3 linked regions of the Neodiprion lecontei genome follow. The protein of the gene in region 3 interacts with the protein of the main gene of each other region in a biochemical or structural test. Links are inferred from orthologs where the notes say so. Each region holds a gene or a part of one and is shown on either strand. Other genes may lie near its edges.

The links.
Region 1: of the proteins of serine/threonine-protein kinase grp (region 3) and serine/threonine-protein kinase ATR-like, one has a biochemical effect on the other in vitro, tested with the Homo sapiens proteins (7 studies listed by BioGRID, with this or other methods). The link is inferred for Neodiprion lecontei from reciprocal best matches to the Homo sapiens genes CHEK1 and ATR.
Region 2: of the proteins of serine/threonine-protein kinase grp (region 3) and casein kinase II subunit beta, one has a biochemical effect on the other in vitro, tested with the Homo sapiens proteins (2 studies listed by BioGRID, with this or other methods). The link is inferred for Neodiprion lecontei from reciprocal best matches to the Homo sapiens genes CHEK1 and CSNK2B.

The regions. Positions count from the first base shown.
Region 1 is NC_060264.1:32,008,002-32,013,274, forward strand, and holds the start of serine/threonine-protein kinase ATR-like, read left to right. Parts: upstream 1-1,929; 5' UTR 1,930-2,183; coding exon 2,184-2,227; intron 2,228-2,488; coding exon 2,489-2,694; intron 2,695-2,784; coding exon 2,785-2,955; intron 2,956-3,070; coding exon 3,071-3,228; intron 3,229-3,464; coding exon 3,465-3,614; intron 3,615-3,708; coding exon 3,709-3,910; intron 3,911-3,992; coding exon 3,993-4,114; intron 4,115-4,223; coding exon 4,224-4,792; intron 4,793-4,946; coding exon 4,947-5,111; intron 5,112-5,199; coding exon 5,200-5,273. Other genes in the region: neuronal PAS domain-containing protein 4A, read left to right, coding at 459-1,247. UniProt on the Homo sapiens protein: Serine/threonine protein kinase which activates checkpoint signaling upon genotoxic stresses such as ionizing radiation (IR), ultraviolet light (UV), or DNA replication stalling, thereby acting as a DNA damage sensor.
Region 2 is NC_060262.1:34,620,801-34,625,364, forward strand, and holds casein kinase II subunit beta, read right to left. Parts: upstream 2,650-4,564; 5' UTR 2,522-2,649; coding exon 2,508-2,521; intron 2,380-2,507; coding exon 2,304-2,379; intron 2,029-2,303; coding exon 1,926-2,028; intron 1,632-1,925; coding exon 1,250-1,631; intron 1,056-1,249; coding exon 947-1,055; 3' UTR 845-946; downstream 1-844. UniProt on the Homo sapiens protein: Regulatory subunit of casein kinase II/CK2.
Region 3 is NC_060261.1:17,306,862-17,311,828, forward strand, and holds the start of serine/threonine-protein kinase grp, read right to left. Parts: upstream 3,417-4,967; 5' UTR 3,191-3,416; intron 2,992-3,190; 5' UTR 2,927-2,991; coding exon 2,865-2,926; intron 1-2,864. UniProt on the Homo sapiens protein: Serine/threonine-protein kinase which is required for checkpoint-mediated cell cycle arrest and activation of DNA repair in response to the presence of DNA damage or unreplicated DNA.

The sequences.
Region 1 (5,273 bases), on a different chromosome or scaffold from region 3:
TTTCCTATAAGATTGGAATAAAGTGCAGCCTAATTTTAGAATTGTTACATATTGCTTTTGGTGATTGTGATGCTGGGGCGTCCAGGGCGATCGTCATCTTCAACGTTTTCATTGCTATCTTGGGAACCCTTGTTTTACTCATAGCAAACTCAGCAACAGTAATGTTTAACATTTCGATCAATTTGCTGCACTTTATTCCATTCTTACAGCAAAATTTAATACAAATTCTCTGATTCATTTTCAAAATACCCGATCCTAACTAAGCACGTGTAACGCTTTTGACGACTGACAATAGACTATATAAATATATATCCAATTCGGCTAATACTGTGCAGCAACTTTTCAGTCAAGTTTATCAACACACAACGAAAAAAACACGCGAATCGGACTAATACACACTCAATATTACAAAATTCCCGTTATCTTTCGAACATGCCACGTATTCTTGAACGTTGCAGCATTCTTCAACGCACATTAGTCGGGAGACTTCGGAACCGGTGGACATGTCGATAAACGGAGCCGTGATCTCACACCACACAGGGGACATCGAGCAGCGAACCCTCCACATACTTTCCCAAGCCCTGACATTCAACATCCGTAATAACAAGCAGCGGAAAGGGAGCAGCACCCTGCTCCAGCAGCAGATGCATCACGGCAACTCTGTTCCCGGGGTTAGTTCAACGATTTTGCGAGAGTGTTCATCCCCGAGATGTTCTCCGAAGTACGTGAGTCTAACGGACCTGGACAAGAGTTACGGTGATAGTACCGAAGTGACTTCAATCGTAGCTTCGGCTTGCTGCACAGCAACAGCGATAGACAGCTGCAGCTATAACTCGCAGAGGCGGCTGGTGATTAAAACTGCGACGATCGTCGAGCCGGCCGAGGTCTGTACCGAGCCTTGGGGCTCGGCTTGTACTTCCGTTGGCAACGCTTGGGTCGACACTCTCCAAAAGGTTCCTGATATCGTCCAGCTCCAGGAGCTCAGTCCCTGCGTCACAACGCCTACCACACCTTGCACCGACGTCTCTGCTGACTCGGACCTCAGGTCCGGGACGCCGATTTTCAATTTTGACTGGTCAGCCGAGCACCACGTGCCCAGCCTCAAGGTCAACTTCCGTAACATCACCAGCCACGAGAGCAAGCGGACTCTTGTGCAACCTTGCGAGGTTTCGCAGCCTGCTATCACCCTACAGTTACCTGCTACGAGGCGAAAACATACAGGGGCGGGTTCTGACGTTACAAAATGATTTACTAAATGAGGACGAATGTCCTTCTGAAAGACCGTGGTTACACTGATCGGTGCTGTTTGTCTCTTTTTCGGATTGAACTATGTGCCCGTGGATTATCGATTTCGATTTTGGGAGTCATGATAGCTATAAAAAATACTTAAACTCACGAATATACCAATTTCTGTTTCACAAAATTTGACTAGCAAAATTATTACTGCAGAGTTAACGGAACGAGAACGATGATTAATTGTTTTTTGTGCGTACGTGACTATCATATTGTTACAATTATTCTCCGTGTAAATGTATTATCATTTCTATTATATGTGTATAGTTATATAGTACGCGAGTGTGATGATGTATGTTACTATTTTCATTTCGGAGTTGTTTGTATAATAATTATTATTATGTGAATAAAATGGTGCTAAAATTCTAAATCGTGTGGTCTAAAATCACTGAATTAGTATTATTATTATATTTCACCGGTCTAAATACGTGATGCCATAAGCAAACACTTACCTAGGTATACAAATTTTAGGGACCCTACCAGAGCTGACTGATTCTACGTAGTCTTACCAACAGTCGGTACACTTACCGTCCGCGGTGAATCTGCATTACCGACCAGTATTACCGCCGTGTTTCCCATGCGGTCCGACGCCCTCGCGACTCAGCCAGTTTGAATTGTACAGCATGGCCTGTCAGTCGCGAATTCGCTCTGCAACCGCTTGTGGAGTTTGATGAATAGGGGTGTAAATTCTGTGATAGCAAGAATTTTAGCAATTTTTGGCTTTAGTTATGAAGGCGGCAATATGTGCTCTTTTCAGTTGAATAAAATACCGCATGTGTCAAGCAAATTCTTCGTTGATGCGAGTCCAAACAATATTCCAACCTCCTATCTCGTATCGTCAATACGAAGTCTTTCGTAGTTCGCAAGGAAAACAAACCTAAATAAAAATCATGAGCAGCGATTCTACTACCGAATTATCAAATTCGAGTAACAGGTAAGTCTTGATGTTCTAACCTCTTATTAATTAACCCAATACTTGTATTGAATTATTTGGACACCGGCAAATTCGTACATCACAGACGTGATTTTGTTTGTAATTGTGTATTTTTTAATTTTATTATTCTAACCCCTTCAATTCTTATATATAACATTATTTGAACACTGGTAAATTCGAACATGAGCAGATGTAAATTCATCCTCTTGTACTCTTATCATCGAAACAATATATTTGTTATTATGGTTCATCTATCAACAGTAGCGTAGCGACTGCAGAAACAGTATGGAGAGTGATAAACAACCCTTTGGTCGCTATATTGTCGGACCTACAAAACGACACGGCGGAACGAACAATTCGTGTCATTTTGGGTTCCATTCTTAAGGGGTCTGCCAACCTGACAAATGTTTTGGTTCCCCCGCAGGCGGTAGGAGAGAATTACAAAAATCTCGAGAGACAGTATACAGGTAAATATAGGAGCTTATCGACGCCAACAAATAAAAATTGATAAAAGTGTTGGTGTGATGCGAAGAATCATTTCTCCTATTTTATTACAGAATTTACAATTTGGCTTTTTGGAACGATGTTCTACATATCGGGTGCACCGTTTGGTACAGAAGTACACTCTAGCAGTTTGGAAGTACAAGCTTGTATGCTGCGCATATTGGCTACACATTACCCACCGAATTTTAATCGAATATCTTCAGAGCTGCTGGATGTTTTGGAAGGTGTGTCTAAAAGAGTTTTGAATCTGTTTTTTAACCGTTGGCTAATAGCATGGTTTGAATAGCAAGGAAGAAATGAACTATGTGATATAATAACCTCAGGTCCTTACGTTTACAGATATTGTAAAATTTGAAGCAAACTGTAAGCCTGGAGATCAGATGGAAATAGCCAGATTCCAGGCTGAGTCTGGTGTTATAGGTTACTTAGATCTCGTTTCCTTGCCGCTCAGGGTACCTGAAAAAAGGCTTTATTCTCTACAGATTTTTATATCAAAGGTAACGTTAAGGGGTTGATGGTTCAACTTGACAACCATAGCAAGTCATAATAGTAGAACGAATAACAAGTCTGTGCATAAGAGTTGTTCAATGAACTAATTGAAACAATAGTAGAATTAATTCATCGATATCTATATAGAAAAAAAATTTCATGTCGCATCTTAATTATGATATGTATTTTTTTGACTTTCAATCACATTGCTGGTCCCATTTTAACCATCGTTTGATCTTTGCAGATCATTTTAAACATTGGTGTTACACAATGGAACCAGTCAAGGTTATGGGATGTGTGTCTCAAAATGATCGTTGATTCTTCACCAGATGTAAAATTCCTTGCACTAAAAATTGCGACGCAGATGATGCAAAGATCGCTAATTGGGCCAAAGGTGTCGATAAAAACACAATGATTTTTCAATATCGTGTCCATATTCGTAGCATATTTTCCTCTACAATCATATTTTTCTTTTTTTCATCATTAAGGAAAAATACGCAATCATAGTTCGGACTATAGAGATGGTCAAGCTTGTTCCTAGCTGGAAAAGTCTTGGTATACTATCGGCAGGCACGGATGCAGAATGGGTGGAAATTTTGACGAATTTTGTCAGCGAGATGGGAACTTCTCCAACTGCTACCAGCCTTTGTTATGATGTCATTGATTTGACAATCTGCAATAATTTTGATGGTAAGTTTAAAAGCAATTTGTAATTAAATAAGATCGAATATACTAACTGAAGAACAGTCATGAATTAAACGTTCAATTACAGTAAGTTCTGAGCCCTTGAGAGATGCAGCGTGCGCCAAAATCACGCGTTATTTAATGGACAATCCAACCTCATGTACTCCTGACGAAATAACCAGGTGTTCTATTTATCTTAAGAATTGGACGGTAAGCATTTTTTTTCTAAATAATACCGCTTATTATTAATGTCTCGAAATTGCAGAAGGCATCGTAAACAGGCACACTGAATAATTGATATTATTTTTGTTTTTTAAAGGGTTTTCTCGAGATAATGCAACACCTAGTGTTAAATGACATTGAATGTTCGATGTCAAAGCTTAAACAGAATTCATTACTAACTAGCGAGACGTGGAGTATCTTGGGAAAGATTTTTGCTGATAAGTTACAACGTAAAGAATTCCACTTCACTTTAGAGATCCTGAAATGTTCGAGCTGGCTAGACTTCCAGATTGCGCAGGCCAATATTGATGTTTCATTTTATGGAAAAGAGTCTGAAAGCATAGCTCTAGTTTTCATAAACGAACTGCGTGCTAAATCCAATGTAAACCCAACTTTAATTTTCGAGAATATAAATCAGCTCTGCAGGCACAGAGAAGTAAAAAATGTAGAGTTACACGAAGTTCTCTTAGAATCCCTGCCACATATTGGACAGTCATTTGTGAACATTCGACAGCAAATTGTCACCGCTGCGAAATCCTTGGATGTTACGATGAAAATTAAATCCTTGGATACTCTTTGCCAATTCGGAAATTTCGAAAAACGTCTTTCGCTCATCAAAAGCTGCGTCATTTCCGACTACGTTGAGCTGGCCGTCGCTGGTATTCGGTAAGTAGCTCAGTACTATAAAAAATGATTTGCAGAACGATTCTGCTCAAATAATTCAAGGAAAGATCATGGCCAGAATAGAATCCCTTCTCAAATTTACTTATACATGTATTTTTTCATTCTGCAGTACTAAAAACACGAGAATTACTTTCAGAAATCTGAAGTTTGCCATTGGGGAAGGTAAATCTTACTCTGTCACCTCTGTAGTGGAAATAATGAATCTAGCCACAGCTTCAGCTAAAGAAGAATTGCGTTTAGCCATAGTCGAATGTATGGGAGGAATAGTTTGTTTGCTTTCCGGGCGAGCAGTCATGGCTAGGTATTTCCTATGTTCATATTTTACAAATATGTTCAACGTTCAAAAAGTTCTGTTGCATTCGATTACTTGATAAAATATTTAATTTCAGAGAGGTTGATCGCTCGACTGAATGGGTGATAAAATGTGCCGATTGTGACAAGTTTCTTGCTGGGGAAATACAGA
Region 2 (4,564 bases), on a different chromosome or scaffold from region 3:
TCTTACATAGCCAGCACTTGGCCAACTTTGATGAGAAGGCCAATAAGGCTAAAAATTTACACCAGAGATTTGAAAGACTGAAAAAGCCAGATAAACTTTTTTGCTAAAACAATTTGGGATACGTTTTTTTTTATCGCATAGATATCTAGCGAAAGAAAGTTTTATTACACTCAGAGATATGGTCCGTTTCAACATTTTCGTTACGTCTAAATATCTAAGTAGCCAACTGATTGAAAATCAATACCGGATTCACTAGTACTAAACTTTAAAAATAATGATCACCTTCGTTATTATAGTAGGCATTTAATTATTGTATAAATTAAACTATGCTTAGCAAATATAGTTTATACACCATTTTTTTTTTTCGATTTTATCCTACTAATAATTTGGAAAATGATGACACGGTTTTGATCTCATCGTTAATAACAAATTTACTTTACTATTAGGCTAACTTCTAATTTTAGTTTACTTTTCATTGATGTTTGTCGATTGCGTTAGAAATTGCTCTATAGCAATGACATTCTTAGAAGTATAGATAAATACGTAATATTGGTATATTTTGTTTTCAGAGTAGAACAATCAATAATTAACAGGTTTTCGAACTGCACAATCAAGTGCGCGTTAAAAAATACTGCACGGAATTCATGAAGTTAACATTAAATTATCTCGATACTATGCTACATACTAAAAAAATGAAATGTTCATTAGATTTGGCAAGTAAACAAAAAGGTATACGTATAAGTAAAATGGAGAAAGGTTATAATTACCTACGAACATTAATATTTGCACGCTGCATCTATAGATTTGTTCGCTTGCTTCGGTCTCGGAAACCGGTTGAAGAAGGTTTATAAAACAAGTGACAGTTTATTTAAAACTTATCAACAAAATTATGGTTTGTATTACGAAATACGAATGAAAATTTTCTAATTCAAATTTAAATAAAGTTTTAACGCTTTCCGTTGTTATAGTTGAGAGTTCTTAATGGAGCTTTGAAGGTTGCAGCAGATTGTTGTTGAATCTGATAAGCCAGGGGGTGAATTTTAAATCCATATAACCTGAAATTTTGTAAAATAAAGTATTTAGAGTAATTCTCGAGTCCTGGTCTCGAGATAAGAATGTATATATCACATAATAGTATGCCTAAATAGAGCCAAATAAATAAATCACTATCTTGGTTTGGTTGACTGGTAGAAATCTTTTAGTTCTGCAGTTATGCAACTATTTCTAGTTCTCGTTGTGAGGGTTTTACCTGGGCACGAACTGGTTAGCAGCACGTTTAGGTCGATATTCGGGATGCACCATAAACAGCATGTGTGGGAATCCAGTTCCAAAATATGCACCGTCAGTATGATGATGTCGTGAACTTTTAGGAGTGTAGACGTCCATACATTTGGGACAGTAACTTTTGACCATTGCTTCGCCTGGTACATCGCTGAGTCCTAGTGGCAACATAGGCTGCGATTCGCAGTAAACACGTGGACAGTGGCCAAAGTCACCAGACTGATACTTTTCAATCATTTGTGCAATACCTCGGTTCGTTAAAATATAACGTGCGTGAATAAGACCATACAGCATTTCAGCAGCCTGTTCTATCAAATCCGATTGGTTCGGATTGTCATCCAGTTCATCATCTAAAATTAGGAAATTTTTCAAGTTTATATGTGCAGCTATGAGTCAAAAATGTACACATCTCAGTAATATTCTCCAATTTAAACACACCAGATTCAAAGATGCAAAAGAAGTTTCTTAAAAAATATCGACTCAACTATACCTATAATTCTACACTTTGACGATAGAGCTATCAGTACTTATGATTTTCAAGTTTTAAGATTTGAATTATTCTTAAGTGTTCTGATAGTGGTGTAGATCACAGAGAATATATAACAAGTACGACAGAGAGTTTAAAAACAAAAGACAATATGTACCAGGTTCGAGGTCAAGGATCATGTCCAATGCCTGACGATAGTGTGGAACCTGTTCATTGAGACCAGTTAGATTGAATTTATCTTGTATATAGTCTTCATCAACCTGCGTAGAAATTGTAAACATAATTTCGGTTAAAAATTGAGCTCCACACTTATAATAATGATAATCTCAGTTAAATTTTGAAACACTTGGTTTTACACTCGATTAGCATACGGATATATAGTAATATCAGCGGTAGTGCAAATTTGGAGGTCAACAATAGACGCCATAATATTTAAGGAATGATTCATAGAAAGTGATTTCACCAAATTTTTGACTGATAATCGGTAGTACCTATCATAACGATTGTATGAGAATGAGATTAGAAAAATTCTTACCTCACAAAAAAATTCATTTCCTCTGAGCCCGCAGAACCACGAGATCCATGATACCTCCTCGGAACTGCTCATTTTTCTATTAATTAGAGATATATTAGTGAAAAACTTTAACAAACCATAATCGCGTAGATTAGCCAACGGAATAACAAGACACTTCGTTCGGCACGCAAGATGCCCGACATTTTGCTCAACCGCTTCACCTACGTTTCCGTGGTCATTGCTGATCGGTCAAATGATTATTGAGTACGTTGTATAACTAAATATAAGGGAAAATCGCATGACTCTAGGAAAACTGGCCTAAGAGCCACGCGGTAAACCGAAAACCCAAAAATAAACAGCCCTTACGGCTTACCTTTTGGTGCCTTGATTAGCCACGCTTGCTCGCCCAGAGAGGGTAGGTGTCGCTGCTAGCGTCTGCTACCAGCTGTATGCGGAGAATTTATTGGGTGCACACTATTCTCAGAATCCTGATACCATGTTAACTTCAATTCAAGTCCATACTGATATTGATAATAAATACACCCGCTAGTTTCTCACACAACATACAATTCGATCCACTATTCACGAACTGTTCTCCACAATGAACATGAAATTATTTTGTTATCGGCGACACGGCAGGCGCAGGGCGTCGATATAACAGGCCTCTCGTTTATCTATAGTCAGTGCTGCGTCGAGTGATGATTGGAAACTACGCTCGCGGATAGTGCTGGAAACTATAGTCGATTTACAAAAACTATCGGATTCATTGTTCAACCCTGTATTATGATTGGTTGGCTCATCGTTGGACAATATGGCAGGAGTAGGGCAATAATCATGGCAATAATCTCTATTGTAATGTGATTATAATTGAGATCAGTGGAATGGGGGGATGGTACATATTGTTGAAATTCTGATGTCAGAGGACACAGAGGTGAGCGGACGAGCGAAATCCGTTGTGGCAACAGTCTCAGTTTGTCTATGACGTCATGGAATACAAACGATGTAGCCGAACAATATAACCTTTCGCTCTTTATTACTTGACGAAGTTAAAAGAATACACCGCAAATTTGTCATTCTTTCACTTGTAAGCAGCTGACACTGAGTTATCTTTTTCTATCTTTCAATTGTATTATCTACATTGGTTATAACTGCAACAGAAGCCAGTCATTCGTCAGTTGGCAAATTGAAAAAAATTGCATCGCGAGTCGTTACCGTCATTTATGCAAACAGATGGTCAGTATGCATTCTGCAGTACCGTCTGGTCTATTGATTTATCAACTTTCGGGAGTATGCCAATTTCAAACCATCGATAGTTAGACTATTATCATGATTTTAACTCGTATATTATTCAATATATTGTTTGGAATTGAATGTTTGCCCATGAAATCCACTAATGTCTTTGAAAACTAACTTTATTTACATTTTCAAACGTCCATGGATATAAAATAAAGCATTAACAATACGATGAACGATAGTGCGTCTTTAGAATGGACTTCATTGTTATCCAAAAAAAGGAAAAACATTTGTCACAATAAACAAGACATATCAATTTTGTCAATAACAGAATCGTATCAAACTGTCAATTTCTCGAGGATCAATTTTTTAAACTTGAGTTGATTCATTATTATTCAATGATATATATTTATGTACATATATATATACTCATATCTATTTTTTCAACGTTTAAAATACTCAATGTGAATCCATAGTAATATAGTGTGCTTACAAAATAGAAACTCGCGCGATTCAGATTTTTCTCAGAGTACAAGTTTTTTTTCATAAGCTATATCACAATTTCTTTTATTTTTTTTACATTCAGTAGTTATGTTTCAAGATTACAGCCATTCTGATTTCATCGATATTTGATCATGGTACCTGGTTATGTGTCGCGCGCAAAATTAATCCTTCAATTACGATTTATTATTTTGATCTGAAAATCGTTGAATTGGCTGGTTGGTAGATTCTACTGTTTTTCATGTTCGTCGCACACCTGATATGTTTGAGATCTTAATCCAAACAATTAAACGTCATTTATTTATGTATTTTTATTTTTCAAAAAAACTCGTATTATATTCCTTATTACGTTCGAAATTAAGCCCTCGAAGCCTTGATGAAAAATTTTATAGTGCGGAGTTCTTTTTCACAAACACTTGCCCCACGAATTTGATGAAAATTGTATCATATGAGTAATCCAAAGTACAGGTAGCTACACGAATGCCAAAACGAACGGTAGAAGAATCAACCGATTTGTTACATCTTTCACCATACCGCGATATATTCAC
Region 3 (4,967 bases):
ATAATGCCGACTTTAAAATAAATGAATCAGAATCTTTTGTAATCCAGGCATATAAAGAATAATTTTTTAGATATTCAGAAGGAAATCAACAATTTGGAAGAATCTATTCTAATCAAATTATAAATCTAATCAAATCGATTCTAAACAAATAATTTTTACCTAAAGGACAGAACCTCAAGTTGACTTCATTTTTAGAACAATACAATCGAGTGGCATACAAAACTTGAAAAATATTTTATATCTTGAGTAAAATGAAAGCAAGAAAGAATATCATGAAACGTTTATTTGAGTCCATTTGAACTCTGCACTCTGGAATTCCCAACGACTCAGAGGAAACTGGTGAGAGATACGATTCACCGAAAAATTTATAATGGTCACATGACGTGTAACAGAAAATTGAGAATATGTGGAAAGTGTGAATGATGACTATAATACCTTATAAATCGATTCTGGCGGCGCAAATAACTGATGTAGATTACAAATCAAAAGTTAAGAGAGGACGACCCATTTAAAAATATTTCCAGCATTGCAATTTACCAAATTATGGTACATACGAATTAAACAAACTCTGTACTATGTAATAAAAATGAATCTAATGGATTTTGATTTACACAAGTCAAGATATCAACAATATGAAAAAGGATTCTTATAATTGGAATGTTCAAATGAGTAAACTCCCGTGTTTTTTCATTCAATTCTAATGTTTTGTGCTTATTTTGCTTGCAAACACGATTTCCGCGAATTGTGTAAAAAACAATTCAGAAATCTTCCATTTTGAATTGATTTCAGATGAATTCATAAAGAAGCTGAAGTTTGTAATGTTACTGTAACGAAACATCAGAAGATTTCATTGTTGTTCAATTTTAGAATGACTTTCAATGTGCTGGTTTTTTAAAATATTAATGCATTTTGTTTATTGTGCTTTACTAAATTTCAGGCAATCCTGAAGGTGTCAAGTAACGATTTTTCATAAACACGCATCGTTACAATAAATTTACGAACTTCAACTTCATAATTTACGGGGTTCCATGTTGATTTCAAAATAATTTCGTTGTGAATACGGGATTTGATGAGATTTCGTACAATTTCACATCATCGATTTTTTAAATAACTTTTTTACATGTCCATTATATTTCATTTTGAATCAATTTTATGACGGCTGGGAATGAATGTATCAGAATTCTAACGATTCCATATTTTGGTTTTTTATGTACATTACCTGTCTACATTTTGACTTTTCTATACTTTGATATTCTAAATTTTAAATTTCTATAAAATGGACTTTTGGTTTTATGAATATTTAATATTGTGACCCTCTTTTCTCTAATCTTTTTACATTTTCCCTCCACCCTGCATTTGCAAAAATACAATTTTTCATTCGTTATTTTCATATCTAATGCTTTTAGATTTAGGTTAACGTAGGTGTTACATGTAAATAAAATGAATTTCCACAGACGGATTAATTCGAGGATTAATTTCAAACACTGGTAATTAAATTTTCTATTCGTACTCAAAATCGAGATTCAATGGTTTCTCCAAGAATTGGTGATTTTTGTATATCAACTGGTATTTTAATTTTGATTCAAAACAAAGTTGCTACCCAAATTGTTTGTTCAGATATTGGAAACATACGTATATTCAAATATTTGTAAGTTATGAAAATAATTTTACTCTTTAGTATCGTAGCTACGATACAAATAGAGATACGAAAAAAATACTTTATTCAAAAAAATATGATTTTTTTTTCATGGAAATTTCTTTTCCAATGTATTCTATTTTAATTATTGCTTACCTTAAAAAGTTTGCAATCATAATTTACGATCCATTTCATAATTATAAAGAATTATGAGTTGCATCGTTACGAACATACCAATTTTGTGTCCGTAAAGAAACTTATCAGCAATGGTGGGAGACAATGAATATGTGAGGCTGAAGTAAAGAAAGAGAGAAAAAACATCTGTGACCTTAAACTTGTCTTTGATCTCGATATTAGTTGCTCATATCCAAAATACAAACTCTCTATTTAAAATTAGATGTTACTTACAAAATCTCAACAAAAAAACACAATCCAAAACTCGATTCATATCAACATCATTTTTCCCTCTTGTAGCACTCAAACTTTTAAATAAAACATCTGTTTGCATTTCTCAGATATTCACATGGAATGATTAAAACACCACACTGTATAAAACTCTTAAAAAGATTCCATACATTCCAGTAAGTCATTATTGCGAGTGCAGGCCTCGTGCGTATTGTGATGACGAAGATCTGGGTGTGAATCGAATCATTTGAAAGCAATTTTAAGAAATATTCATATAGTTTTGAAGGATCTTGATGCAATATCGAAGTCATTTTTTTTTATATGATTTCATATGATTTTAGCAAATTTTAAAGTGGTTTCATGGTAATTTTTAAGAGATTTTCTTATCAAATTCAATCATTTAAGTCAATTTCAGATGACTTCAATCGATTTCGTTCGAGTTCAATTGATCTAAGTTTCAGAAAAATATCAGAGATTGATCACTTCAAATGTGATAATTATAAAACTTTTCCTCGAATCGTTGGTATATCTTGGCTTGTGCTACTTGAATGTACTCAAATCATTTCTATCAGGTTGTAAGGATGATGTTTTATCCGTGTTTATCATCATGGGCCAAATAATACTGGAGATGTTTAGAATGGTTTTGTCTCCCGTCTCGGTTTTAATTACAATGATGCCCGATTCATCCTTTAAATATGTGAGATCTGTTTCAAACGCTAAACTCAATATGATTTCTAACAGATGAAAGAGGCGGGATGTAACAGAGAGTGAAAATAAAAGCGTAAGCAGTGATTAACGAGGAAAAATAATTATGAATACTCACTCGCCGTAGGCCCCCTCCCCCAGAGTGTGCCCTAAAGTCCAACCTTCCACGAAGTCCGACATCGTGTTTCTCGCATTCCTCTTTCTTCGTTACAGACAAAGAATCAATATCGTTCTCATTTCCGATCCTGCCGAATGAAATTTCTTTGTGATCGCTGTTGTCGAACGAACGACGAGGGCACTCTTTGATGGATAATAATCGCTAAGAGGTGCCGCTGATGCCGATAAAAAGGGACCAACTATTACGAAAAGTTCACTTCAAGCTTCTAAATTGTGACAGAAACTAGGGAAACACGTGGTAAGGGTGATAAAATAAACAGGGTAAACCGTTAGTGAGTCGATCTTCGAGCCGAATTTTACATTCCCGTTGTTACAGGTGATTATGGTGTTAGCGGCAGTTAAACAGCGCTATGAGTTTGTGAACGTATCATATTTTAACACCAATAGCAAGGAAATCGATTGCAAAACGGCGAATCCATTGCTCCTTTTACGAGGAAGGGAAGCATAGAACAGAAACTGATCGTAGAAAGTTTAATATGGCTGCTGGACCGATGTCTCCCTGCTTCTGTCAATCGATTTAAAACAGAGCCGCGATCGGCAGCTAAGCGAACTTGCGAATATCGAAGCCATTAAGCTACGTCCTATTATAGAGTGTCAACTTCAAGAAATATTTCTTGTTGGTGCGAAAAATATAGTGACCAAGATGGCTGGTAGTTGCTCTAGTTACTCTAATAACTAGGAACCTCAGTGTAGGAAAGATCGGTTACTGATCGAAGACTTCCGAAATTAGCTCCCAGTGCTGTTACGCACCTTTTATCTCTTTTGCGCTGCCGAGTTCGTGAGTAGCTCTGACTCTGTCCTAGGGATTTCTTAACGCAGCCGGCTAGTTTCGGAACGCACTCTATACCCAGGTAGCATTTCATGCAGCATCCGATCATGCAAGACCGTGTTCGGCAGCACTTTGCGGCAGAATTGTGCAAGGTTGATGCATGTTTCTGCAGAACAGGTGATCTTACAAATAAACCATGCGGGTCAGTCGAATGTCACTCGCTACAATATATTGACGACACGATTACTGTAATTCTACGCACGATGTCGAGCTGCAGCGCGAACCGAAACTTGCACGTGCTAGTGTCGTTAATGTTTTATGCGAATAAATACGCAAAACCCCGGTTTCCGATTGAATTATACTTGTGTAACAAATTTAGCAGCAAACAGCGGGAAACACGCGACTGATGCGTGTTTTTACTTACTGAGGCATATAAACCAATTATTATATACATCACTTCATATTATTTGATACGGTAAGTACAGTTTTGTAGTTATATTTTATGAAATCAGATGCGTTTCTTATAGAGATCCGACTACTTTTTTATATCCATCTAGGTACTTATATCCTTATTTTTCCATTGGTAAAGCTTCAGGTTATATTTTTCTGACTGTATTATTCTTTCCACGCACTTTATAAGAACATGTGTATTTATTTCGATTTGTGATTTACGGAAATTTTTTACCGTACTATCCATAGTCTTATATTGTCGAATTCCTTCATATCATCTGTGTAATTTGGATATTTTTTCCACATATTATTTCATACCTTCCACAAAGCCGATCCTGGCGAAGCATGTATGAATCATGCATTTTCTGCGGCAGGCACCTACCAGAAGGAAGCATACGTGGTCTTTTTACAATGCGGAAACAGACAGATAGTTGCCTGCCGGCAGGGTCATGCATGCGCACATGTGACGGTCAAATCACGAACTTGCAACAGAATGCTACCTGGGTATTACTATAAATAAACTACTTCTATCGATAAAGACGCTACCGAATCGCCAACATGGCTTATCATGGCCCCAGGCTCACTTACCCGCAGAGTGCTGGTTACAAAAATGTGCCCAGAGTACACTTGAGGACAATGCACCTGAGACGGCTAATTTTTTACACTAGACAATTATGTTGGCAACACAGAAACCTACAGCATCATAGTCGGCCAAGCGCGATACAAACTCAATCTCAATTAACATAACATAACCCATGACCGTAGAATCTAACAAGAATACCACCATAGATTGATACTACCCACTACGCAACACTGAATTTTGAA